Linked DNA regions of Callithrix jacchus. The protein of the gene in region 1 purifies or fractionates together with the protein of each later gene. This does not show direct contact. Links are inferred from orthologs where the notes say so. Each region holds a gene or a part of one and is shown on either strand. Other genes may lie near its edges.

Evidence for each region.
Region 2: the proteins of ARPC5L (region 1) and CAPZB purify together in Homo sapiens (co-immunoprecipitation; 3 studies listed by BioGRID and IntAct, with this or other methods). This does not show direct contact. The link is inferred for Callithrix jacchus from reciprocal best matches to the Homo sapiens genes ARPC5L and CAPZB.
Region 3: the proteins of ARPC5L (region 1) and ACTR3B purify together in Homo sapiens (affinity purification with mass spectrometry; 3 studies listed by BioGRID and IntAct, counting the BioPlex papers as one, with this or other methods). This does not show direct contact. The link is inferred for Callithrix jacchus from reciprocal best matches to the Homo sapiens genes ARPC5L and ACTR3B.
Region 4: the proteins of ARPC5L (region 1) and ARPC2 fractionate together in Homo sapiens (co-fractionation; 7 studies listed by BioGRID and IntAct, with this or other methods). This does not show direct contact. The link is inferred for Callithrix jacchus from reciprocal best matches to the Homo sapiens genes ARPC5L and ARPC2.
Region 5: the proteins of ARPC5L (region 1) and ACTR3 purify together in Homo sapiens (affinity purification with mass spectrometry; 6 studies listed by BioGRID and IntAct, counting the BioPlex papers as one, with this or other methods). This does not show direct contact. The link is inferred for Callithrix jacchus from reciprocal best matches to the Homo sapiens genes ARPC5L and ACTR3.
Region 6: the proteins of ARPC5L (region 1) and ARPC1A fractionate together in Homo sapiens (co-fractionation; 7 studies listed by BioGRID and IntAct, with this or other methods). This does not show direct contact. The link is inferred for Callithrix jacchus from reciprocal best matches to the Homo sapiens genes ARPC5L and ARPC1A.

Annotation. Positions count from the first base shown.
Region 1 is NC_133502.1:173,467,779-173,470,561, reverse strand, and holds part of ARPC5L (actin-related protein 2/3 complex subunit 5-like protein), read right to left. Parts: intron 1,616-2,783; coding exon 1,543-1,615; intron 310-1,542; coding exon 133-309; intron 1-132. UniProt on the Homo sapiens protein: May function as component of the Arp2/3 complex which is involved in regulation of actin polymerization and together with an activating nucleation-promoting factor (NPF) mediates the formation of branched actin networks.
Region 2 is NC_133508.1:56,259,382-56,263,005, reverse strand, and holds part of CAPZB (F-actin-capping protein subunit beta), read left to right. Parts: intron 1-1,752; coding exon 1,753-1,894; intron 1,895-2,560; coding exon 2,561-2,677; intron 2,678-3,624. UniProt on the Homo sapiens protein: F-actin-capping proteins bind in a Ca(2+)-independent manner to the fast growing ends of actin filaments (barbed end) thereby blocking the exchange of subunits at these ends.
Region 3 is NC_133512.1:95,420,042-95,423,665, reverse strand, and holds part of ACTR3B (actin-related protein 3B), read left to right. Parts: intron 1-1,196; coding exon 1,197-1,370; intron 1,371-2,862; coding exon 2,863-2,955; intron 2,956-3,624. UniProt on the Homo sapiens protein: Plays a role in the organization of the actin cytoskeleton.
Region 4 is NC_133507.1:139,959,668-139,963,740, forward strand, and holds the start of ARPC2 (actin-related protein 2/3 complex subunit 2), read left to right. Parts: upstream 1-1,239; 5' UTR 1,240-1,299; intron 1,300-1,357; exon of another isoform or gene 1,358-1,420; intron 1,421-1,632; 5' UTR 1,633-1,640; coding exon 1,641-1,714; intron 1,715-4,073. UniProt on the Homo sapiens protein: Actin-binding component of the Arp2/3 complex, a multiprotein complex that mediates actin polymerization upon stimulation by nucleation-promoting factor (NPF).
Region 5 is NC_133507.1:98,527,324-98,531,703, forward strand, and holds the start of ACTR3 (actin-related protein 3), read left to right. Parts: upstream 1-1,523; 5' UTR 1,524-1,733; coding exon 1,734-1,777; intron 1,778-2,064; exon of another isoform or gene 2,065-2,231; intron 2,232-4,380. UniProt on the Homo sapiens protein: ATP-binding component of the Arp2/3 complex, a multiprotein complex that mediates actin polymerization upon stimulation by nucleation-promoting factor (NPF).
Region 6 is NC_133503.1:14,253,309-14,257,705, forward strand, and holds the start of ARPC1A (actin-related protein 2/3 complex subunit 1A), read right to left. Parts: upstream 2,818-4,397; 5' UTR 2,715-2,817; intron 1-2,714. UniProt on the Homo sapiens protein: Probably functions as a component of the Arp2/3 complex which is involved in regulation of actin polymerization and together with an activating nucleation-promoting factor (NPF) mediates the formation of branched actin networks.

The DNA.
Region 1 (2,783 bases):
CAGGTTAGGGCTCACCCTGTGACCCTACACACCTATCAGACCATCCGATGTTTATTCTGGAAAATCTGGCCCGCTGATTGAAGCCTGGGGCAAGCCCAGTGGCTCACCTGGCGCGGGGCAGTGCTCACATACCTTTTCATGCCACTGGAGCAGCACTGCGCTGCTATTTTCTGTAGGCTTCTCAAAGCCTTTATAAATGTACTTCATTAACAAGTCAACGCCGTTTCTGTCCAGTGACTGCACAGCCTGCTCAATCTCACTGCTCTTGAAGTTTGTGAGCACTTTCAGCACCACACCCTGGGCTCTTTCCTGCAGACGAAAAAGAGCAAGTGAGACCCAGAGTGGCACTAGCACCACTGTGCCCCACACCAAAGCAAGGACCACTGATCACCAGAAACACCACCCAGTTTCAAAATAGTCCAGGATGGTTAAAATAAGCAGGCTAGAAGGTCTTCTGAGGATTTAAATTTCAAAGTATCCTTTGTTTATGCCAACAAGTTATTCTACTTATTTTGGGGGGAATAAGTTGTTTACTAGGACAAATATCAACTCTGTGTGAGAGAGAGAAGAAAAAAGAGAAAGAGGGAGAGAGGAAGAGAGAGAGAGAGAGAGAGGGTGAGAGGGAGGGAGGGAGGGAGGGAGGGAGGGCAGGGTCTCACTCTGCTGTCTAGGCTGGAGTGCAGTGGTGCAATCTTGGCTCACTGCAGCCTGTTCCAGCCATCTTCTCACCTCAGTTAGGGCTACAGGCACATGCCACCATGCCTTTTTTTTTTTTTTTTTTTTTAATTTTTAGTACAGACAAGGTCTCACTATGTTGCCCAGGCTAAACTCCTGAGCTCAGGCGATCCTCCCACCTCCCAAAGTGCTGGGATTACAGGCATTAGCCACGGCACCCAGCCTATCACTATTTTAGATGACACCAATAAGGCCTTATTATACTCCACAATGGTGAAGTTCTATTAAAAAATAAAAATAAAACCAGGCTGACTTGGCTGCAGCGTCCCTCATGTTCACACCCAGGAAGGGTGGGGCCAGTCCCCAGAACTCTGCAGGTGCAATCAAGATGCTGTCACAGCTGCCAGAATCCCAGGTGCAGGGAGACCCTTTCCCTGAACCAAATTTTAGCCTTTGTGATGCAGAAGCACAATTTAGAAGGTAGGAAATCATACAGGTACTTAAAATCCTTAGGCAGACGAAGCCCATCCAACAGCCTGTAAGAGCATAGGCACCACAGGCTGGAGAAGTCATCAGTTTTCCGCATCAGCCAGGGCCAGGCTGACTTCTCAGCCTACGAGGCCCTGAGCGGGAGTGAAGGCTTCTCTGGGGAGTTTCTCCTATAAACACTGACAGCTTTGATGTTGGAGGAGCCTCGCCATCTAGGGAGTGCCAGGAGGCTTCTGTGGAAGCACTGCCCAGTGCCAACTCACTCCCCTGGTGCAAATGAAACGGATGCAGGCCAGAGCCCCAAGGAGCTCACACCGGGCAGACACCCACAGCCCTGGTCCCAACAGCACCCAGCAGAACCGCATGTGACCCCTTTACCTTCACGGCTTGATTCTTGGTGTTGACGGGAGAGTTCCTCAAGGCTGCGTGGAATGCCCGAAGCATGTCCCCTGTGATGGCCATGAGTTAAGGATGGCTAGGCTCAAGCACGTCCACACTCTCATTAACAAGCTCACTTCAGAAACAGCTCAGGGAACAGAGTCAGACAGGATCTCATCCATACCACCCACTTTCCACAGCTTCCAGGAGGGCAGGTGTTTACAGCCCGCGGAGGGTGCAGGGCACCTCTGCCAACCGTGCAAACCCTCCTTCTTCCTCCTTCTCCACCTTCCCCCTCAAAGCAACTGCCCTGGAGGGGGAGCTTGCTGTAAAACCATTGTGTGCTCACTTGCACCTGCCTGGTGCTGGGCACGGTATCGCCCCTACCGGATCCTCACAGCAACCGTACATGTGAACTGGGGATTGTTCCCATTCTAAAAAAGGGAAAAGGAGACCTCCTAACTTTTCATCAATGCTCTTTATCAATTAAACTATAAAGGAAATTAAACTGTTCTAAAACTTCTAACAGCCATCGAGATCAGTGAGGTCCCAACTGTTTCCAGGAAAGAGTTTATCATCTAAAAGAAGCTTTTGCCAACAATGAACCAATCTCTACCCCTCCCCACAACCTCAGCTGCAGTCCTGACAATAAATTCTTTGCTGAGTTCTGAATACCCAGCATGCAAAAGAAAATTACAATCTGGGTTAGGTCCCCAAAGGTGACACCTATTTTAAACTAAATTACATCAGCCAACTTTCATTTCCTCATGTGAAACACTGGCTTCAGCCAAAAAGCTTCAAAAATAGAACAAGGAATGGCTTCTGCCCAATCGGGTCTCTACTCCTCTTCATGCAGTGATACCCACGTGCAGGCAGGAAGGGCCTTCGGAGCAGAGCTGAATCTCCTGGCTTCCCCAGTGTGAGCTCCATCTTGTGTGATCTGGGTCCAAGCCACCAGGCAAGCCACTCCCAGCCCTGGTTCCCCAGCTCCCTGCTTGGCTCTGATCCACCTTCCACACTCGAGAGGCGGCTGGGAGTGTCTTTCAGCTCTGGAGTTCCTTTTCCCCATCCAAACAAGGCCAGCCTGATATCAGCCACGGACAACCTCTACCTTGCAACTCTTTTCTAATGTGGTGTCCCCAAGCAAGAAGCAGGATCCCAGAGGCCGAACAGGAAACATAGGCTTGCTTGCTCTTCATGTAAACCTGGCACAACGGACAAACAAAATCATTCTGATGATG
Region 2 (3,624 bases), on another chromosome or scaffold:
AAAAGCTTTTTAGTTTGGAATAGTATGACTTACTGTAAGATTGCACAAAAAAAGGATGGGGAGAGACTACAGAGAATTCTTGTACCCATCACCCACATTCTCTAAATATGAACATTTACCGTGTGTATTTTTTGTTGTATAATAGCTTTGGTGAGACATTATATATAGATACATGTTAATTCTAATACTTAATTTTAATAATGAAAACGACAATGACCATTTGGCAGGTGTCTAATTTCTTAATCGTTTTTGTCTCTCAACAGCCCTGGAAAGTAGATTAAGTCCCTAAGGCCCATGTTCACACAGCTGGTCCCATAGTAAATAGTTGTTGGGCAGATGTATGCCTGAGCATAGCTCATAGCTGGGGGTGCTAGAGCTGTCACTGAGTCTGACTCCCAAGCCTTTGCCTACCCAGTGCACCATGCTGCCCACCTTCCCAGCTGTGTGGGGCTGAGGGAGTGTGCTCCTAGAATACACCTACCACACTGTGGCTCTGGGGCTTAATAGGGGTCAGAGAGGCCTGAGACTTTCTGATAAAGATGTGCTCACCATGAGAGATGAGATTGCTCACAGTTGGTTATCAGCAGAGATAAGAGTCCTCTCTTTGGGGCTTAACTGGGATTGGAGAGGTTACAGACTTTCCCCGCAAGAAATGAGATTTCGCATAGTCTCCGTTGGTTATCAGCAGCTTTTGCAGTTCTCATCAGCTGACCCCACCCCTCGACTCTGCTCATGGCAGCCCCAGTGAGCCACAGTAGCTGACCTGGGTCGGTTGGGTTTGGGATCCCAGACTGATTCCCTTTTTTCATCTTGCCTTTTGTTTTCTTCTTCTATTTGATCATAATTAGAAATGTTTCTGGGTGGGGGGTGGTGGCTTATGCCCATAATCCCAGCACTTTGGAGGCCAAGGCAGGAGGATCACGTAAGATCAGGAGTTCCAGAGCAGCCTGGCCAACGTGGCAAAACTCCATCTCTACTGAAAATACAAAAATCAGCCTGGTGCGGTGGTGCGCACCTGTAATCCCAGCTACTTCGGGAGGCTGAGGCCAGGAGAATCATTTGAACCTAGGAGGTGGAGGTCGCAGTGAGCTGAGATGGTGCCACTGCACTCCGGTGTGGGCAACAAAGCGAGACTTCATCTCAAAAATAAATAAATAAATAAAAGAGATGTTTCTGTATTGACTCAGATTTGAGGCGGAAGCTCTGTCTCAAGCTGAGCCCTTCATTTCCATCTAGTGCTTTGTGGGAAGCTGCTCCAAAAGATCAGCAGGAGCCCTGGTCTGCCAGGATCAGGAGGGATCAGGATGTAGGGAGTTTGTTGCTATATTTTCTCCCCTATAAAATATCCCAAAAGACAGAAATATCGAACAGCCGTGGTCACTCCAGTGGTTGTGGCCTGCATGGATTATCACTGGATGTCACTCGCTGTACTGTGTTTTTTATCTGGAAGGAGTGTGAGGCCCAGAGAGGTTCAGTAATCCAAAGACCACAAAGCTAGAGGAGGTGGCGGAGCCCAAACTCAAATTCATCTTTATGACACTAAACCTAATATTCCCCCAAGGGTGCTGCACCACCTCCCCCAGCGAGAGGACGATCAGAACACACCTAAGGATTGTCTCCTACAGCCGTTGCAGGGAAGGCCCCGAATCCCAGACAGGTGTTCAGGTGAATCTTGGCTGAGCAACAGCCTGGGACCCAGGCTGATGATCTGTCATTTAACATCTAACAGGCACATTGGCCTGTTTCCTGCAGGTATTTTGAAGGCGGCGTCTCATCTGTCTACCTCTGGGATCTGGATCATGGCTTTGCTGGAGTGATCCTCATAAAGAAGGCTGGAGATGGATCAAAGAAGATCAAAGGCTGCTGGGATTCCATCCACGTGGTGGAAGTGCAGGTACTGCCCACCAGCAGCTGGTGGCCGGGGCCGCCGAGTGTAGATGGCACACCAAACAGTGCAGCCCTGCTCTCCAGCAGATGCAGGGGAAATGCTGTGATCTCTGAACCCCTGCTAATTCTGAAAAATGCCTCAAAGCCATTTGGATAAAGATAAGTCAAGACTGCAGTGGTCATTGATTATTAAGTTCCCAAAAGAAATACACAATTAGAAATGTTGTCCCTTTAAAAACCAGTCAGGTTTTTATAAGAAAAATAATATTGTGAGGCCAGGTGCGGTGGCTCATGCCTGTACTCCCAGCAGTTGGGGAAGCTGAGGCGGGCAGATCACCAGAGGTCAGGAGTTCAAGACCAGCCTGGCCAACATGGCAAAACCCTGTCTCTACTGAAGACAAAAAAATTACCCGGGTGTGGTGGCGGGCGCCTGTGATCCCAGCTACTTGGGAGGCTGAGGCAGGAGAATCATGTGAATCTGGGAGGCGGAGGCTGCAGTGTCTAAGATCATACCACTGCACTCCAGCCTGGACAACAGAGCCAGATTTTGTCTCAAAACAAAAGGTAATATTTGAATAATGACCTAGGAAGGGAGATGTTAGGATAACCCTGAGTTTAAGGGGCCACTTCAGGCTCTTCCCTAGCTCAGCAGGTCTCTGTCTTGTCCTTCCAGGAGAAATCCAGCGGCCGCACCGCCCATTACAAGTTGACCTCCACGGTGATGCTGTGGCTGCAGACCAACAAATCCGGCTCTGGCACCATGAACCTCGGAGGCAGCCTCACCAGACAGGTAGAGTTACCGCTCCTAGCCACGTGCCTGTGCCCACCAGTGCTGGCCTCAGCACTGATCTGCACAGATGAGTGAGCCGGGGCCCCATTTAGGGTAAATGTGTTCAGCCAGCTGTAAATCCACCATCTGAGTAGGTAGGGCTTCACATTTTCATGAATGCGATTTCAATGAAAGCCCTCTAGGCTGTATGAGGTTGCCCACAGCTACCGACACCGTGCTAGCCTTCTGCTGAGGGAGCCAGGCGCTGGCCATGGCTCCTCCTTACCCCTCAGGGCCCCACACACCCCCATGCTTCAGGCTCACGTTGTGCTGTGAGAAGCCGTTCCTGGCTCTGTTTGCGGTCTCTGTGGCCATGCCCGGCCCATCAGTCAGGCCCGCTCTCTGGAAGCCACTTAACCTGCTGCACCTTGCAGCCCTCAGCCTAGTCCAAGGACCAGCATCAGTATCACCTAAGAGCTTGTCAGAAAGGCAGAAATACCGGGCCCCACCCAGACCTGGCAAATCAGGATCTCCATTTTCGCAAAATTCTCCAGGTAATGTGTGCGCATTGAAATTTAAGAAGTGCCCTACTGGGTACCTCTCTCTTACCCATCTTTTGTTTGGGTATCACTAGCGACCCTTCTCTACAGTGTTGCTCCCAGGTTCTGTCTGAGGCAAACTTGGACTTGGACCGGAAGGTCCTGCCTCCCCTGAGCAGATTTGCCTGCACTTCTACTATAGCTGTTCCTATAAGCATCTAGGTGGGTTTAAGATCCTTGTATAAGGGTCCACGTTCAGGCCCCTTCAACCCCCATCCCAAGAGAAGGCCTTAACCTTGTGACGGTGCAGTGCCACCAGCTGCTTGGCGTGAAGAGGAAAGAGAAAGCACAGACCAAGCACAACTGGGCTTTAGAAGGATCCTGTTTTGCCTTCAGCGAAGTTGGTATCAGCAGAAACCACACGGCCTT
Region 3 (3,624 bases), on another chromosome or scaffold:
GAGGTTGTAATCAGCTGACCCTGTCTCTCTCTGTGTCATCAAGGAATACAGGGTTGTGTAACACTTTTGGCCTATCAGTCTTCTTAAAATTCCACTAGAGTATATCAGAGATACCCAGAAGATGGCATTAGAGTATGTTTCAGGGATGCTAAATACCTCGAGAACATCTTTGGAGGTCCTTGAGGGAGCCATTCCTTCCAGTGTGTCGAGTGCCAGCTGGGCAGCCTGCCTGTTTCTTCCTGTAGGCAGTGTACTTTCAGCATCTAGTACCTGGGGGTCACCTGCTGCTTTGCTGAGGTCAGCGTTCAGGACACATGATCAACACAGAGGTGTCCAAGAGCATCAGTCACACCAGGAGACATTTTGCATACCTCAGGCTGCCTGTCGCTGAGAACTGTAAGTGAGTTCTCTCGCAGCAGCACGGCTTCAGGCCTCCTGCCTGCCTTTGCTTTTCCTCGTTCCCCGGAACCTACCATGTCATTTACTTGTTATGGTTGCGTATTGTCTGACTCTCAGCTAGAGTGTAATCTCGGCAGGGATCTGTGTGTGTTTCACTCACTTGTGTATCTGAAGTGCCTAGACAATAAATATGTGTTGATCGAGGGACTTAGAATACCCTGTCAACAAGGTACAGTATCTCTACCTTAAAGAGATAGTAGTGTCAGGGGAGCTGATGACAGTGCTGTGGCCGACTCCACACCACATTAACAACCCGCAGGTTGATAGTGGCCTCCTGGCTTGTGGCATGCTGGGACCCAAAGAAGCTGCTGCAGTCAGGTGTGAGGGGATAGACGGTGCTGCACTCGGTAGATGAGGCTGTAGCACGGATCTGCTGGTCCAGTGTGGACAACAGAGAGGTGCCAGGGCAGGCCATAGGGGCCGCCTCAGAGGAACAAGGCAAGACAAGGTCCTTATAGACACCTGTAGATATCATTTCAGATAGGATCGCAGTAAAATTGGATAGACCAAGGCTGAGATTAATAGCTGAGTTGCAGAGAAAGCAGACGTAACTGTCCAAAGTCCAAGTGTTGTCATGTGGAATGTGAGGCTTGACGGCACATCCACCCTAGAGTTACAGTGGGGGCAGATCTGATTCCAGGGGTGTGCTTACTGCCTGGGGTTCCTGGTTGTTTGTCTGAGGGCAGAGACGCTGGGCACTTGTTAATGCCTGGCAACGTCTTTGTGTGTGTATGCAGGAGAAATACTGTTACATTTGCCCCGATATAGTCAAGGAATTTGCCAAGTATGATGTGGATCCTCGGAAGTGGATCAAACAGTACACGGGCATTAATGCGATCAACCAGAAGAAGTTCGTTATAGATGTTGGTTATGAACGGTTCCTGGGACCTGAAATATTCTTTCATCCGGAGGTAAGATGCTTCTTTTTCGTGTGCTGAAGCGTGTGGATGGAGCGACACTGCCACCCAGAGTGCAGAAAGAGTGGTTCCCAGGAAAGGGCCTGTGAGCAGGGTGGCTGCCATTCGGTCTTCTCCCTGTGTCCCCCGCGCAGTTTGTCTGCTTGACAGATTGTTCAGTTTGCCTCTTCATAGACTTGGTTATCTGCTTTAATAGTAAAGGGTGGGTTATACCACGTATGGGAAGACGTTCAGGAGCAATAGGAGATGATAGAATCGAAAGTAATCTCCAAAGGTTGTGGGTGGTCACATGCTGGTATTACAGGTAGCTAATCTCAAGGACTATATGGAGGTTGCCTGTGCATAAGAGTGGGATAATCTATAACCTTTTTATCTTTGGCGATTGCCCTTCCTAACTTCTAATTTTAACCCTGGACAGTGGGTCCTGCTCTTCCCTGCTGCAGGTTTTAGGTAAAGCTTCTGTCTAAGGCCAGCATTTCTGTTATTTAGATAATCTTAAGAATTAGAAATGTTATTTTAACTAGCAGTCATAAGGAATTATTAGTACTTTTGCAGAAAACGGTAATTAAGAGGCACATTTTAAGATTTACATATAATGCATTTTATTTATATTTTGGTATATTTTCCTGGCTAATTCAGTTTATATTCAGAAGGTGGGTTATAAACTGCTTCTTATTTTTAGATATGTATGTGTCTATTTTGTACAGAGAAACAGCAGAGAATGTTACCTCACTAGTAATCTGATGAATAAAATTATACCAGTGATAGTGTAGTGAATGCTCACTTTTAATAGTATTGATGGAAATGTGTCACATGTCCAGAGAACAGCTGGTGAGCACCTGAACGTCTTCCTCCTTCCTCTGAGTTGACACTTGAAGTTTTCCTTGATTTTTAAAATATTTCAAAGGAAATGTAATTGAGCTGAATTAGTTATACTTTAGCTTATGTGACTTATGGAATTGAATCTAAGGCTTTGTATTCAGTAACATGGTCATCATGTGGCTTGTTTGATTTTAAACAAACTTCTCATTAAACAAAACACTTCCCCATCTTCTAGAGCAAGTTTAATTAATCTTTCATTGAACCTGTTTCTTTTTTCCTTGTATCCTAATTTTCTCCTAACACTATTGTCAGATATACACTCACGCTTCTCGCTGCACTTCACACAGATCGTGCACATGCTTCCCACTTCTCTTATTAGGCAAATCACTGTGTATTCATGATGTAGGGATGGTCTGTCTTTGTTATTGTTGGGTATTTTTTCTTCACTAAGTCCACACGTTTTACCTCATGAGGAGAAATTTGTCATCACTGCCCCACGCACACGTAGTCACGTGGGATTCATTTGACATATCCTTCATTCCAATGTGAATTGTTTTAAGTTTTAATAAATTGTATATTTGTTAAAGTTACTTTACAGAAGTTTTCCTGTTGTTCTATTCGAGAGAAATGTGCAATGTTTGTTTTATATTGATACACAATTCAGTTTGCCAACCCAGACTTCATGGAGTCCATCTCGGACGTTGTTGATGAAGTGATACAGAACTGCCCCATCGATGTGCGGCGTCCACTGTATAAGGTATGAGCTGCCTGGGTAAGAGACTTCCATCTCATTCCACATTCTTAGACGAGGGTGTTACTGTCTAGTGCTAGCAGATGGTCCTATTTCACCTTCTGTTTTATAGGATTTATTAAAGACAGTGTAATTGTAAGAGAAAATGGAAAGTGACTCAATTAACTAGAAGTTTTTTTATTTGGAGATGGAGTCTTGCTCTGTTGCCCAGGCTGGAGTACAACCGAGCGATCTCAGCTTACTACAACTTCTGCCTCCTGAGTTGAAGCAATTCTTCTGCCTCAGCATCCTGAGTAGCTAGCTGGGACAATAGACACCTGTTGCCACGCCTGGATAATTTTTTTTTTTTTTTTATATTTTAGTAGAGACAAGGTTTACCATGTTGCCCAGGCTGGTCTTGAACTCCTGAGCTCAGGTAATCCACCCGCCTTGGTCGCCCAAAGTGTTGGAATTACAGGTGTGAGCCACCGCACCTGGCCAACTATAAATATTTAAGTATTGTAAATATATTTTATTTTCTGACAAGATATATCTTAAGCTGGACAGTTTTAGCCACACATATTGATTGAAAGTCAGAGTGATACCCTCCCCCATGCTGTCTGTGAGCTCCATTGGTTTCGTTTCATGCATATTTGGGTTTAGTGCCGACCTGCTGTTGTCAGATAGAAGTAGAGC
Region 4 (4,073 bases), on another chromosome or scaffold:
GGGAGGCAGAGGTTACAGTGAACCGAGATAGCGATACCACTCCAGCCTGAGTGACAGAGTGAGACACTGTCTCAAATTAAAAAAAAAAAAAATAGGTTAGCATATAATTTGGGGGGATCAGCAATATCCCGAAGCTTATCCATAGCCCGTTAAGGAATGTCTCAAAGGGCTATCTGTGCCTTAATGATAGGAGCTAGTTTCTTGTTATTTTTATCCCCACCCCAAACACATAGCAGAAAATAAATTATTTCTTCGTATGTAGAAGAGACTCAGCTAAGTTTGTTATATTCTTCCCGGAGGAGGGAAAACAAAACAAGGCATAAAGGCAGAAGGTGCAGATGTAACACAAAGATGAGTTAAGTTTCCACACGCAGGTAACAAAGAGGGTTATGTTTCTGCCAGAGGTACTGGAAGGTATAGGTTTAAAAGGCAGGAAAAAAATTATGTTCTGGACACCTGGACGCAGTTCCCCAGGCATATAGAATTGGAGGCATGGCAGGAACTCAGGGGGGCCTAAGTTGCCTATACACCCAGGTGACCTCTCATTCCTTTCCCTCATTGCCCTTTTAACAACACGGGGAATTTCACACAGGGAAAGGTTCCCCTCTCGCCCCAGCGGGCAAGGAGGCTCCTCTGCGCAGAGTTCCGTCCCCAACTGCCCCCACGTCCCACAGGTCTCCTCCTGCCCTGTGCACGCACAGGTCTGACCACTTGCTGCTTCCGTATCCCTCCTCTGAGCCTCTCCCTATCCTCTCGGCCTCCTTAAACAATTGAGAATGTGTTTATTGTCTGTTTCCTCTACCAGACTCTAAGTTCATGAGGGCAGGACATCGTCTATTTCATTCGCCACCACATCCCCACTGCAGAGCAAGAGCCCATGAAATATTTGTTAGAGAAATGAATGAGTGATGGTGTCGCTGGACAGCTATTAGCCTGAATTGAAAAGGGTGCACCCACAGGAAACAAGCTAGGAGCAAAGAAGCCCGTTGGGAGACGACAAGGGCGAGCTTCTTGCGAGGTCTCTGAAATGACAAGACCGGAAGAACGGAGTTGGATCTCTGGGACAGGCAGGAAGGAAAAGCTAAACAATCAGGCAAGCCTCGGGGAACGTCAGCTTCGCGGGGGACGCACTGGCAGACCGCGGATGTAAGGGGGTCTGTGGGAAAGTAGAGGTGGGGCGGTGGCATCACACTTGCGCAAGCGCATCCTCCGTTTCCTCCGGCGCGCCTGCGCTCGCGTGCACAAGGGGTTGAAGCGGAAATGGCGCCGCGGGATCGCGCCTCCGGGCGGCGAGCGGAAGTGGGTGTGAGAGCGGAAGTGGCCGGCTAGAGCCGGGGGCTGGGCGGGGACCGGGCTTGTCCGTGAAGCGGCAGTGGCGGCGGCGGCGGCTCGGCAGGCGGGTTCAGGCTTCGGGGGCCAGGTCGGTTGGGTGGGTGCCTGTCTCCACAGTCTGTGTGCGTGGGCCAGCGCGTGCGTCTTACCCTTCCCTCCACCCCGGTCCCTCTCCCCTTCTCCCCTAACCTCCTACCCCACCCAGCCCCCCTCCTCAGGGGGCAGCAGGGCCGCTCTCTGTCCTTCACTCCCTTACCCACCCTCACCGGCCCTTATTTCTCCTTCCCCTGCTCGGGGCAGCCGCCGCCATGATCCTGCTGGAGGTGAACAACCGCATCATCGAGGAGACGCTCGCTCTCAAGTTCGAGAACGCGGCCGCCGGGTGAGCGCGCGCCTGGGGCTGGGGGTGGCGGGGGAGGCAGAGTTGACCCCAACTATTCCCTAGTGTCGTCCGGTCCCCCAGACCTGGAGGAGAGAAATGGGGTGCCTGGCAGGGTGTAGGGGCTGCCCCGGCGGGGTAGACGTGGGAGGCGATTGGGCGCGGCGGGGCGAGGGGTAGAGATGCGTGGGGAGAGGCTCAGAGGAGGGATGCGGAAGCGGCGAGTCTTGAGGACTGTGCGAGCCAAAGGGCAGGAGACCTGTGGGACGTGGGGGCAGCTGGGGCCGGAACTCTCGCTGGAGGAGCCCCCTGCCCGCTCGGGAGAGAAGAAGACCCCTTCCCTGTGTGAAATTCCCCGGCATTGTTCAGAACCCAGAGAGCGCCTGTTTGAAATTGGGTTGGAAGGAGTTTTTAGGAATTCCCAGGACTGAAGGAGGGAAGGAGATGCAGGCCCACATCGCCACCAGCATTCTCGTTCCCCACCCCCATCTCCTCTAAAAGGAGCAGAAGAGAAGACTGAAAGCCGACAGAGTCTCAGAGCCGGAAAAAGCGATCTCTGGTTTCCCTTCCCCGAATCCTTCTGTGAGAGACACTGGGCCATTTTGTTACATATTTTTCAAGCAAAGCCAGTTGTCTGTCGGTCCGCACCCCTTCCTTATCTCTCCTCTGAGGTTCTAACGCTCTCTCCTCATCCACTAGTCTTTATCTGGTTATCTTGTAAATTCTTATATCAAGACCCTGGTCTGTGATTTCTTCTGTGGTAACCCTGGCCCAGTGACACACTTCAAAGCCTCCAGAATCTGTAGTGCTTAGATAAGCTTTCTTTAGGGTTGGACTTTTTAAAAGGTGGGCTTAGGATATATTTCCCAGGCAGCCTTCTCTGCCAAACACAGGCATCAGTAGAAGACAACCTCCTCCTCCAAAGCTGTTTTGCTTTTCTAATATAGTATTTAAAACATGAGCTCAGGGTTTTAGGTTCTAATTTTTGGTGGCCTGTGGCCAGTCCCTTTGCCTCATTTCCCTTTCTAGGAGCGTGGGGCTTCACATCTTGGTTTCACAGTTGACGAAATAAATGCAAACTGTTTCTGGTGAACTAGTAATAGGAAAGTGTTTGGAGAGCCACAGATGGGAGATCAGTGGAGGGGAATTTTTAAGTGGCCATAATGTATTTGTGGCTTGGAGGCATTAAAAATTATTAGCTACCATTTAAACTGAATGTATAGTATGTCCTGTCTCCTTTCTAAGGCTATGGATTTTATCTGTAAAACAAAGCACTACTTTCTTGAAGTTAATATGTGTAGTGAGCAGTACTGTTCCCTGCCAGGGGCTGCTGTTGTTTATATTTTAGGCCGATTTGCTTCTTTCTTGTCTTAGCCTCTCTTACCAGTGTCTTTGCATTTTAAATATTCAAATGAATCAGCCCAGAGTCTTATTTTGGATGATTGCTGTATACTTTTTTCTGAGCAGTGTAGCATTTAGGAGGAAGTTGAATTAACTTCTGCATTTTCACAACTGATCTTAATGCATTCTCAGGTCCAGACTAGCAAAGAATGAAGCCTGGGCGGTCCTAAGCTGATCTACAAGATAAATGGCTATGTATTTTCAAGTAGAGGCATGTCATTTAACATAGGAGTACATTCTTGTCTATTTGTGTATTTATGACTCGTGATTCCAAAATGTGCCCCATTATTCGGAATTTCACCTCTTTCTTTTAGGAAATTATTCTTTAAAAGAGTAGCTAACCATTTCAGAGGGATCAAAATAGGCCCTCAAGTCTGGAAAACATAAGTTAGAACTTCCAGGATTTTTTTTTTTTTTTTTTTTTTTTTTTGAGACAGTCTCACTAACTGGAGTGCAGTGACATGATCTCTGCTCACTGCAACCTTCCCCTCCCAGGTTCAAGTGATTCTCATGTCCCAGCCTCCCAAGTAGCTGGGATTACAAGCACGTGCCACTACACCTGCTAATTTTTTTATTTTTAGTAGAGATGGGTTTTCACCATGTTAGCCAGTCTGGTCTCAAACTCCTGGCCTCAAGTGACCTGCCTGCCTCAGCTTCTCAAAGTGCAGGAATTACAGATGTGAGCTGCTCCGGCTGGCCTCAGGACATTTTTTACAAAGATAGGCATTGTAGGGAAGTTGTATAGGGGGTGCATGGGTGTGTGCACGTGTGTGGGTGTGTGTATAAGTTTTGGATTTTATTCTGGCCCATCTCCCCCTTTCAGATGTGGTCTTCAATAAGTGGGCTCAAAACATTCTGCTGAAAATTGAAACTTTGAAAATCTTTTAAAAGAGCCATGATATCATGCTTAGTAGGCAGGGCTTTCCTGGAATTACAGATTTATCACCCAGCAAAAGCCTGA
Region 5 (4,380 bases), on another chromosome or scaffold:
CCCACTCCTCGCCCTCATTTCTCAGAGTCCTCAGTTCTCTTCTTTCTATTGCACTTAACACAATTTGTCTGTTTCCCGCTAATCTGTAAACTCTACAAAAGACCTTAACTATTTTCCATCCCAGGGAATATTCAGAGTCAGCAGAGTCCCTGCCATAATAGAGTAGGTAAGCAATACTTACCTGTCAAATGAATAAATGAAACACCCAATTCCATTTCCCAGGCCAGCTTAATACCACACTACACGATTTTATGGACTGAATAATATATCCCTCCTTCTAAAAAATATTTTTATTTTAGCTTCACATTAGTAAACTCAGAATGGTTTATCATAAGAAAATCTTGGTGGAGAGGAATGATATTAACCTTCTAGGTTTCTAAAGTGGAACTAGGAACTTATTAGAAATGTGAATTTCTAATTGCTGGGGTGTGGCCCAGCAATCTGTTTTAACAAACCTTTGAGGTGATTCTGATACACACTAAAGTTTGAAAGGTTTCTTTAAGGCTTTCCAGTTTTCTTTTTTTTTTTTTTTTTGGAGTGATGGTTGTGGGGGGTCCTCCCTATGTTGCCCAGGCTGGTCTCGAACTCCTAGCCTTAAGCTCTCCTATTCTTCCACTTTGGCCTTCTAAAGGATTGAAATTACAGGCATGACCCACTGTGGCCGGCCTCCGTTTTTAACTTAAAACTTTTTTTGGGGGGGGGAGTGCCCTTAATCCTTTCTATTATACTGCTAGTAGACTCTTACTACTCCTGAGGGGAATCGTTGTCATAATCTAAAAGCCTTGAATAAAGACCTATTTGGATGGCGTATACTATGTAGAATACATTCCTGGGAGGTTTGCCTTCCTTAGGGACCCAGGTCAGCCCTGGGAGGTGGAGGTTGGGGAGCAGGGCTACATTCTAAAGTCCTGTAACAATGCACAAGTACAACTGAATAAAACCCGCAACAAAGGCCTAAGGACCACGGTGACAAGTCTTTGTTCATCCATTCCCCGACTGCTCACCCTGATACCGCTCTTTTCCACCCAGAAAAGCAGCCACTCAAGTTTTAAGAATGGATGCATGCCGCAGACGTTTTCGATTAGACCGCTTTCTCCCAGGACCTGTAGGATATTCGCGGCTGCAGGAGGCGCTTCCACTCTTTCCCCAATCTAGCAAAGAAGCAACTGAAACTAACCCAAGGGCTGCAACCGAAAAGCCCCTTCCAGCTTCAGAAGCAGAACTAGAAGCTCGGCTAGACTTCGCCTCTATCCTCCTGGAAAACTCGCAGTGGATTTCACTAACTTCGGGATCGGAGCCCGGGCAGGCGAACGTACCTTATTGCGCATGCTCGCTGGCCCCTCCCGCTCGGAGCGGAAGGGGGAGCTCTCCGGGCCTGAGCCTGGCCGGGCCCGGGCGTCGGCACCGGCGGCCATCTTGGCTTCCCGGGGAAAGGCGGCGTGAGGGGAAGAAGTTGTAGGGTGGGGGCAGGAGTGAGGAGGAGGGAAGAGAGAGGGGGAGGAGGCCGCGGCGGGGCAGGGCGGGGACTGCCTGCCTGCCCGGGTTGCGGAAGTGATAGCCGCTGACCGAGCCTGCTGCTTTCTTGCTACTGCTTCGGCTTCCCGGCTACCCCCCGGACGGTGAGGGCGGCCCGGCTGTGGATGGTCAGATAGCGCCTGTCTCCCGCCGCCAATCTCTGGCCCCTAACAGCACGGAGCAGACGGCGGCAGCAGCAGCAGCAGGCTAGGAGGAAGATGGCGGGACGGCTGCCGGCCTGTGTAGTGGACTGTGGCACGGGGTAAGGGGGCTGACGGGCGGGGGTGGGGAAACTGAGGCGGAGGAAGGAAAATGGCGGGGGAGGGAGGAGACCGGGAAATGAATGGTGCGGCAAGGTGCCGCCGCCGGCTGTCAGTCCTAGCCCCGGCGGCTAGCAAGGGGTGGGGCCCGGAGCCAGGGCCTCGCCGGTCCCCTAGTTTCTCCCTCCTAGGACTGGGGCGGGGGCGCAGGCCCGAGATTCAACCTCCAACCCTCCCAGCGGCTTCCTCCGCGCGACCCCCCCCGGCCCTTCCCCCACTGCGGTGGGCTGTGCCGCCCAAAGAGTGCTGGGGACGGTCGCTTTGGGGGTGGTCCCCGGGCCCAACCCATCCGGCTTTCCTTTCCTTCCGCGCCCCTTTTCCCCGTGGGTTTGGGGGCCCAGGGGCCGTGCTCGGGGACTGGCCTGGCAGAGGAGCTAGAAAAGAGAAGCGCTCCTGGTAGGTTTTGCAAGATCGCTGTGACAACACTCTGCCCAGGGTGTGGGTGGGGAAGGGGAAGAATCGGACTCTGAAAATGGGAACCTACAGCGGGGCTTTCATTTGACCACCCACCTTCTCTTTTCGACTCCCGGTCATTTCCATCTCCCTCTGCATTTTAACCGGTGAACCAAGTCACATTTTAATTCGAGAGAGAAAAATGTCATGTGTTACTTCTGTAGCCTCAAAAAAGTCCCCCAGTGAGCAAGCGCGCTGCAACTTCCTTAGTTTTGTCAAAGCCGCTTCCTGCTTTCAGTCTTTTATACCCTTATAAGGTAGTTTTTCGTTTCCAACCTGAACACAACTTATTAGTACTTTTAAAATTAAGCAGGTTTTAAAGAGACGGAATTAACGGTGCTTGGTATTCATTCATGTAACTTAAAAAAATGTACTTGTGTTTCATGGAGAGGGGAGAAAGGAAACACCCTGGAAAATAATTTAAGTTGCATACGTTCCTTCTCTGATGGTATCTTGAAGGAAGGAGGAAGGAAGGTATAGAGGTATATAGGAATGTGTTTAAGTTGCACATAGTTACTCTTAGATCTGTAGAGCTGTTTGCTAAAATATAGAATGGCTTTAAAGTGGTCATTCATTTTGTATTAATAGACATTTTAGAGAGTTGTACCACACTTTGTATAACTACATAGAGAATAGGCTACTTTTATTTTAATGTAGAATCACTGCTTCACGATGACATATAGGAAACTGTTTTCTTTTTTCTGTGATTACATCGCTCTAATTCCCAAACACTCCCAGTTTTATTTTTGAGGGGGAAGGCGTGAGAGGTGGACTGCAAGGCTTTTAAAAAAATTATTGTTAATCATAATTATTAATAATATTCATTATTGTTCCTTAAAAGATTGTATGTCTTTCACTCTTTATTCCATGTAAAATTTCTTTAATCTTCATTCTCATAACTAGCTAGTGTGGCAGTTTCTAAAATCACAGTCAGGTAGAGAAACAACCAACTTAATATTCTCCCCAGGAAAACACTAGCCTAGATGAGCTTTGGAACATCTATGTATTTTTTTGATGAACACTTGATTAGTTTCTTCTTAATCCAGTCTCATTTCTCTGAACCAATAATATTTTTTCTTTCTCCCTTCTTCGTTTAATTGGTGAGTAGTTTTATGTCTAGGTTCAGTTTTAAAATTAGATTTGACCTGAGTCAGTAGGACTTTTCCAATATGTTTTGTTGAAGTGACAATATGGCTACATAATTAATGTTTTAGAAATTACTGAGTTGTCAATAAAAATAGTGTAAATAATTGTGGCCCTAAGAAAGACTATGGTAACATCTCAAGTAGTATGTTACTTTTATTCTTTCCATTTTTTCCCTTTTGAAATAGTTTCAAATTAGTATACTAGATGTCTCATTGAGGTTAACTGTCCTTAAGTGACCTCCTTTCCTAAAGGGCAACCTTGAATTTAAAACATGCTGAATGACCAGTAGGATCAGGGAGAGGGGTTCAGTTTAATCTAGGATATGTCTGTTTTAAAATTTTGATTTTTACAGTAGTATATTTTTACATTATTACATTGGTTTCCCCGACAAGGAGAGGTTGCTAACTGCATTCATGATTTTAATGGAACTGATTAGGAGTCCCTTTGCCAGCTCACTCTCTTTTACAATTTGTCACTACCTGAAAATCTTCCTTTAGAGTTTCAGTTATTTTGGTCCTCAAAAGGCTTTTTGGTCTCTTAAGTTGCCAGTGGTTCTTCCAGGAAAGTTACACCTTCAACTTTATTAACACATGGATAAGTCCTTGAGGTTGGGCCCCTGAGATAAGCATCTCTAAGTATGGCCTTAATAGGGAATTTTTACATTTCAAAATTCTGTGGTCCCCGAATGCAAATTGTGCACCTATAATTTGTCTATTTCTTTATGCTTTAGAGAATGCATTCAGCTCTTAAGTCTCTAGATTACAATTGCCCACTTAGTTTAAGCAAAAAATTATAACCTGAATCAGGTCGTTCATTTTATTCATTATATAAATTAGGGAAAAGGTGGCTGATAAAAAAAATGGTCATCTGTAAAACTTGATTGTCTTAGATAAGAAGGCTGTTAAGAGTTAGGAGACTTGAAACTTAATCCCAAAACTGTTAGGGA
Region 6 (4,397 bases), on another chromosome or scaffold:
ATTCATGAAACCCAGTGAATGCAGAAGAAATTCCTAATAGCCTGAATTATATACTAAGAAAGGGTACCTTCTGTCATAGGGTGATAATTATAACTTCTAAACTATGGTTAATGTTTAAATGAAATCTGAAAAGCTTTGTCTTAGTAGAGCTAGAGAGGAAGAAAAGGGGACAAATAAAAATGTGAGCCACCCTCTCGCCTCAGCCCCCTGAGTAGCTGGGACCACAGGCATGCATCACTATGCCCTGCTACTTTTAATTTTTTTGTAGAGACAAGGATCTCTCTATGTTGCCCAGGCTGGTCTCAAACTCCTGGGCTCAAGCGATCTGCCCACTTCAGCCTCCCAAAGTGTTAAGATTACAGGCATGAGCCACCGTGCCTGCCCCCCATCCCTTTTCTTTATCACTGTGTATAGAGTTATTCTGATGTATGGCTAGCCATGGGCTCTGAAGCCAAGGCTGGCTTTGAATCCTGGCTTTGACACACACTAGCTATGAGACCCTGGGCAAGTCACTTAATATTTCTCAATCTCATTTTTTTTCCCCTCTGTAAAGTGGATATACCACTGACATCACAAGGAGAATTAAATGAGACAACGTGTGAAAGCAAGTAGTACAGAGCCTATTCTGAAATACATGTCAGTAGGTTCCCTTTCTTCCTTTGACCCAAGGCTTTTAAACCAACCATAGAACCCAGCAGTTAGTTTCCTCTGAGCTTATAATTGTTGACATTTGCTATAAATTCTTGGCCCTACTCCTTTGGAGCTTGAAAGTATTCACACAAGTGGGAATTTCTGTCCCTGGTTTTGGGTCAGTTTTTAAGACCGTGATTCACCTAGTTTCTAACCACTCTCATTACCCAACCCAGCAATATCAAGTAATCCAACAAGGTCACCACACCCTCCTCAATGTTCAGACAGGCTCCAGTCCAGGCACCAACCTCACCAAGAGACCATTTTAAACTTCTTCATGAAGGATTTGTTTCAGCACTGGGAAACAATTAGATTAAAGTATGGCAACTCCACCTCCAAAACAAGAGTTTTCCAAAATGATCCCTTCCTTTAAGTGTGATTAGTAGATGAACTCCACAAGATCTTCTAATACATACTCCGAATATGGGAGAAAATAGCCATATAAGCTGGGTGTCGTGGCTCACACCCGTAATCCCAGCACTTTGGTAGGTTGAGGTGGGGGGAGAGCTTGAGCTCAGGAGCTTCAGACCAGCTTGGGCCACATATCGAGACTTTGTCTTTACAAAAAATACAAAAAAAAAAAAAAAAAAAAAAAATTAGCCAGGCGTGGTGGCTCACCCTGTAATCCCAGCTACTCAGGAGGCTGTGGCGGGAAAATTGCTTGAACCATGCCACTGCACTCTATCCAGTCTGGGTGACAGAGTGAGACTCTGTCTCCAGAAAAATAAATGAATGAATGAAAATTCACCCACTGTGGTGGCACATGCCTGTTGTCCTAGCTACTCAGGGGGCTGAGGTGGGAGGATCTCTTAAGCCCAGGAGGTCGAGGCTGCAGGGCAGGAAAAAAAAGGAAGAAAACAGCCACACAGTTACCCACTTCCTAACGGGGCAAAAACAGCTTCCTGACTGATACCCCTCCTTTGTTTTTACCTGAAAACTCAGGGCCTATGTAAAACCGAAAGACTAGATAAAATTGAGAAGAGAGGGCAGAATTAAGATAATCTCGGCAATTTAAGCTATGAGTTGACACAGACAGAAGGTTCCAAAGCTGCAGTAGAACAGATGGCTTTATAATCAAAGATTCTAAGCTATAATTTATTAAGTGCCTACCATGTTCCCAGCAGTGTTGTAAATACTGGGATGGGGACAGAAACATAAATAAGGCTGACACCATTCTGGTCTTCAAGTCTGGAGGGTTGGTGGTTGCTAAGAGTGGAGAAGGTAGAAAAGGAAAGGGAGACAGATATGCACAGAACGCCCAGAAGCAGTAATGATAGTGAATATTTATTGATCACCTACTCTAGGCCAGGAACTATTCTAAGCAATTTATGCAAATAAGCTCATTTGATCCTTAGCAAAACAGTAAGAATCTTTTTTATTGCATGAGGAAAACAGGCACAGAGAAGCAGTCTTCCCAGGATCACCCAACAAAGTGGTGGTGCCAAGACTGGCATAAAAGATTTTACGAACAGGAGAGCCGAGAAGGGTGCGATTTTGACTTGGGGGAAGGCGGTACTCATGCAGGGGGATCTGAAAGAACTCAGAAGAAGGTTTTTCTCGAGATCGGAAAGGTTCCCCAGTAACTGAAAGATTGAGGGCTGCCTAGAGAGGAGGCAAACATCCTATGGGCGCCTGCTGTATGCAGGGATCGACTCCAGACGCTAAAGAGATGAATGGTCCCGCGGGACGCTCGATTAGGGGATTCTCCTGCTTGACACAATTTTAGAGACGGTGACAAATGTCCCCAGCAGAGGTGCAATCAGGACCCTGGGGCGCAGAATAGGTCGTTAATTCTGGCATTGGAGACGGCTAGGAGCTTGAACATCAAGAGAGAAACTCCAGGGAACCCGCGGAGAAAGGGGATCCCCGCCCCCTCAGGAGGCCCCAGCAGACCCGGCCGCGCCTCAGCCTCGGGGCCCCGCGGCCTAAGCCCCCACCTCACCGCCCCCGCGGGTCCAAGTCCGGCGCGAGACCGGGACAAGAGAGGCCGACAGGGTGAGACGCTTGCCCCTGCTGGCCGTTACCTGGGGTCCGGGGAGTCCAGACAGGCTCGGAGCGGAGGATTCGCGGACTCTGGGCAGTCGACGCGAACAGGCTCCGGCGGGCGCGGGCGGAGGACGGAAGCCCAGAGGGAGCGGCTGACAGATCCCGGAAATAGCCACGGCGCCTGCGCGGTGAGGCCGTGCGGGCGGTCTGCGCATGCGCATAGCACAGGCGCGCAGTCCGGGTTTAGGTAGACTGTGGTGAGGAAGGGTACGCGGTCGGATTTGCTGCTGCTGCGGCACAGGCGGTGGCCTTTCAGAGGGAATGTGGCCCCACGGAACGCCTGTCAAGTGCTGGCGAAGCGGCATGGGCGTCCCATTCCGTTCCTCAATCAGTTTCCTCACAATCGCGAGCCAAAGTGTGGCGCCTCGGCAGTTTCGCAAGTTCTTTTGTCAGGAAATAAGTGACTGAGGATTGGGGGGTCTTTGGAGCTCCTGGACCTGACCAACGATTGAGTTTTTCTCTCTTCAGAGAGCCCAGGTCAGAACCAGTCGACCTCAGCGCTGCTTCGTGCAGGGAGCCCCCGCCCCCGCCGTGCTTCCACTGTGGAAAGCCCCTGAAGTCCCCCAGGAACCTTCTCGAATCTTCGCGGGGCAGAGTCACTTGTTCCTTTCTCCCAAGATGGCGCCGCAGGGAAAAAGGTTGGGGGAGCTAGGCTATGCCCCCAGTTCACAGAGGACAGCTTCTGAGGTTTGCCGTGGTTCCCCCATCTGCAACTAGGCTGCTGCCCTTGAACCCGTAGAAATTCTGGAGCAGCTTCAGCCCCCACGGATGGGACTAATCGAGAGCTTTCCTTTTTGTTATTCTTTTTCTTTCTTTCTTTTTTTCATTAAGACAGGGTCTCGATCTGTAGCCCAGGCTGGAGTGCGGTGGCTCGATCATAGCTCAGTGCAGCCAGGAACTTCAGGGCACAAGCGGTCCTCCCGCCCCAGCCTCCAAAGTAGCTGGGACTACAGGTGTACACCACCACGTCTGGCTAATTTTTATTTTTATTTATTTATTTAGAGACGTTGTTTCATGTTGCCCAGGCTGGTGTGCAGTTGCACAATCTTGGCTCATTGCAATCTCTGCCTCCTGGTTTCAAGCGACTCTCCTGCCTCAGCCTCCCGAGTAGCTGGGATTACAGACATGCACCACCATGCCCGGTCATTATTTTGTGTTTAGTAGAGACAGGGTTTCTCCATGTTGGTCAGGCTTGGTCTCGAACTCCCAACCTCAGATGATCCGCCCGCCTCGGCCTCCCAAAGTGCTGGGATTACAGGCGTGAGCCACTGTGCCTGGCCAGCTAATTTTTATTTTTTGGTAGAGTCAGGGTCTTGCAGTGTTGCCCAGGCTGGTCTTGAACTCCTGGGCTGAAGCGATCCTCCCTCTTTAGCTTCCCAAGGCCCTGGGATTATAGGTGTGAGCCACTGTGCCTGGCTAATTTTTATATATTTTTTTGTAGAGATGGGGTTTTCCTATATTGTACAGGCTGTTCTTGAACCCCTGGGCTCAGGTAGTCCTTCAGCTTCTGCTTCCCAAAGCACTGGGTGTGAGCCCTGCCCCTGTGCCAGGCCAACCAAGGATTTGTCTCCTTCCCTTTGGTATTTACATATTTTATCCCAGTGCTTGGTTGCAGGTTGAGGTTTACGTAGGTATACTTGTCAAACTCTCAGTTTCAGACC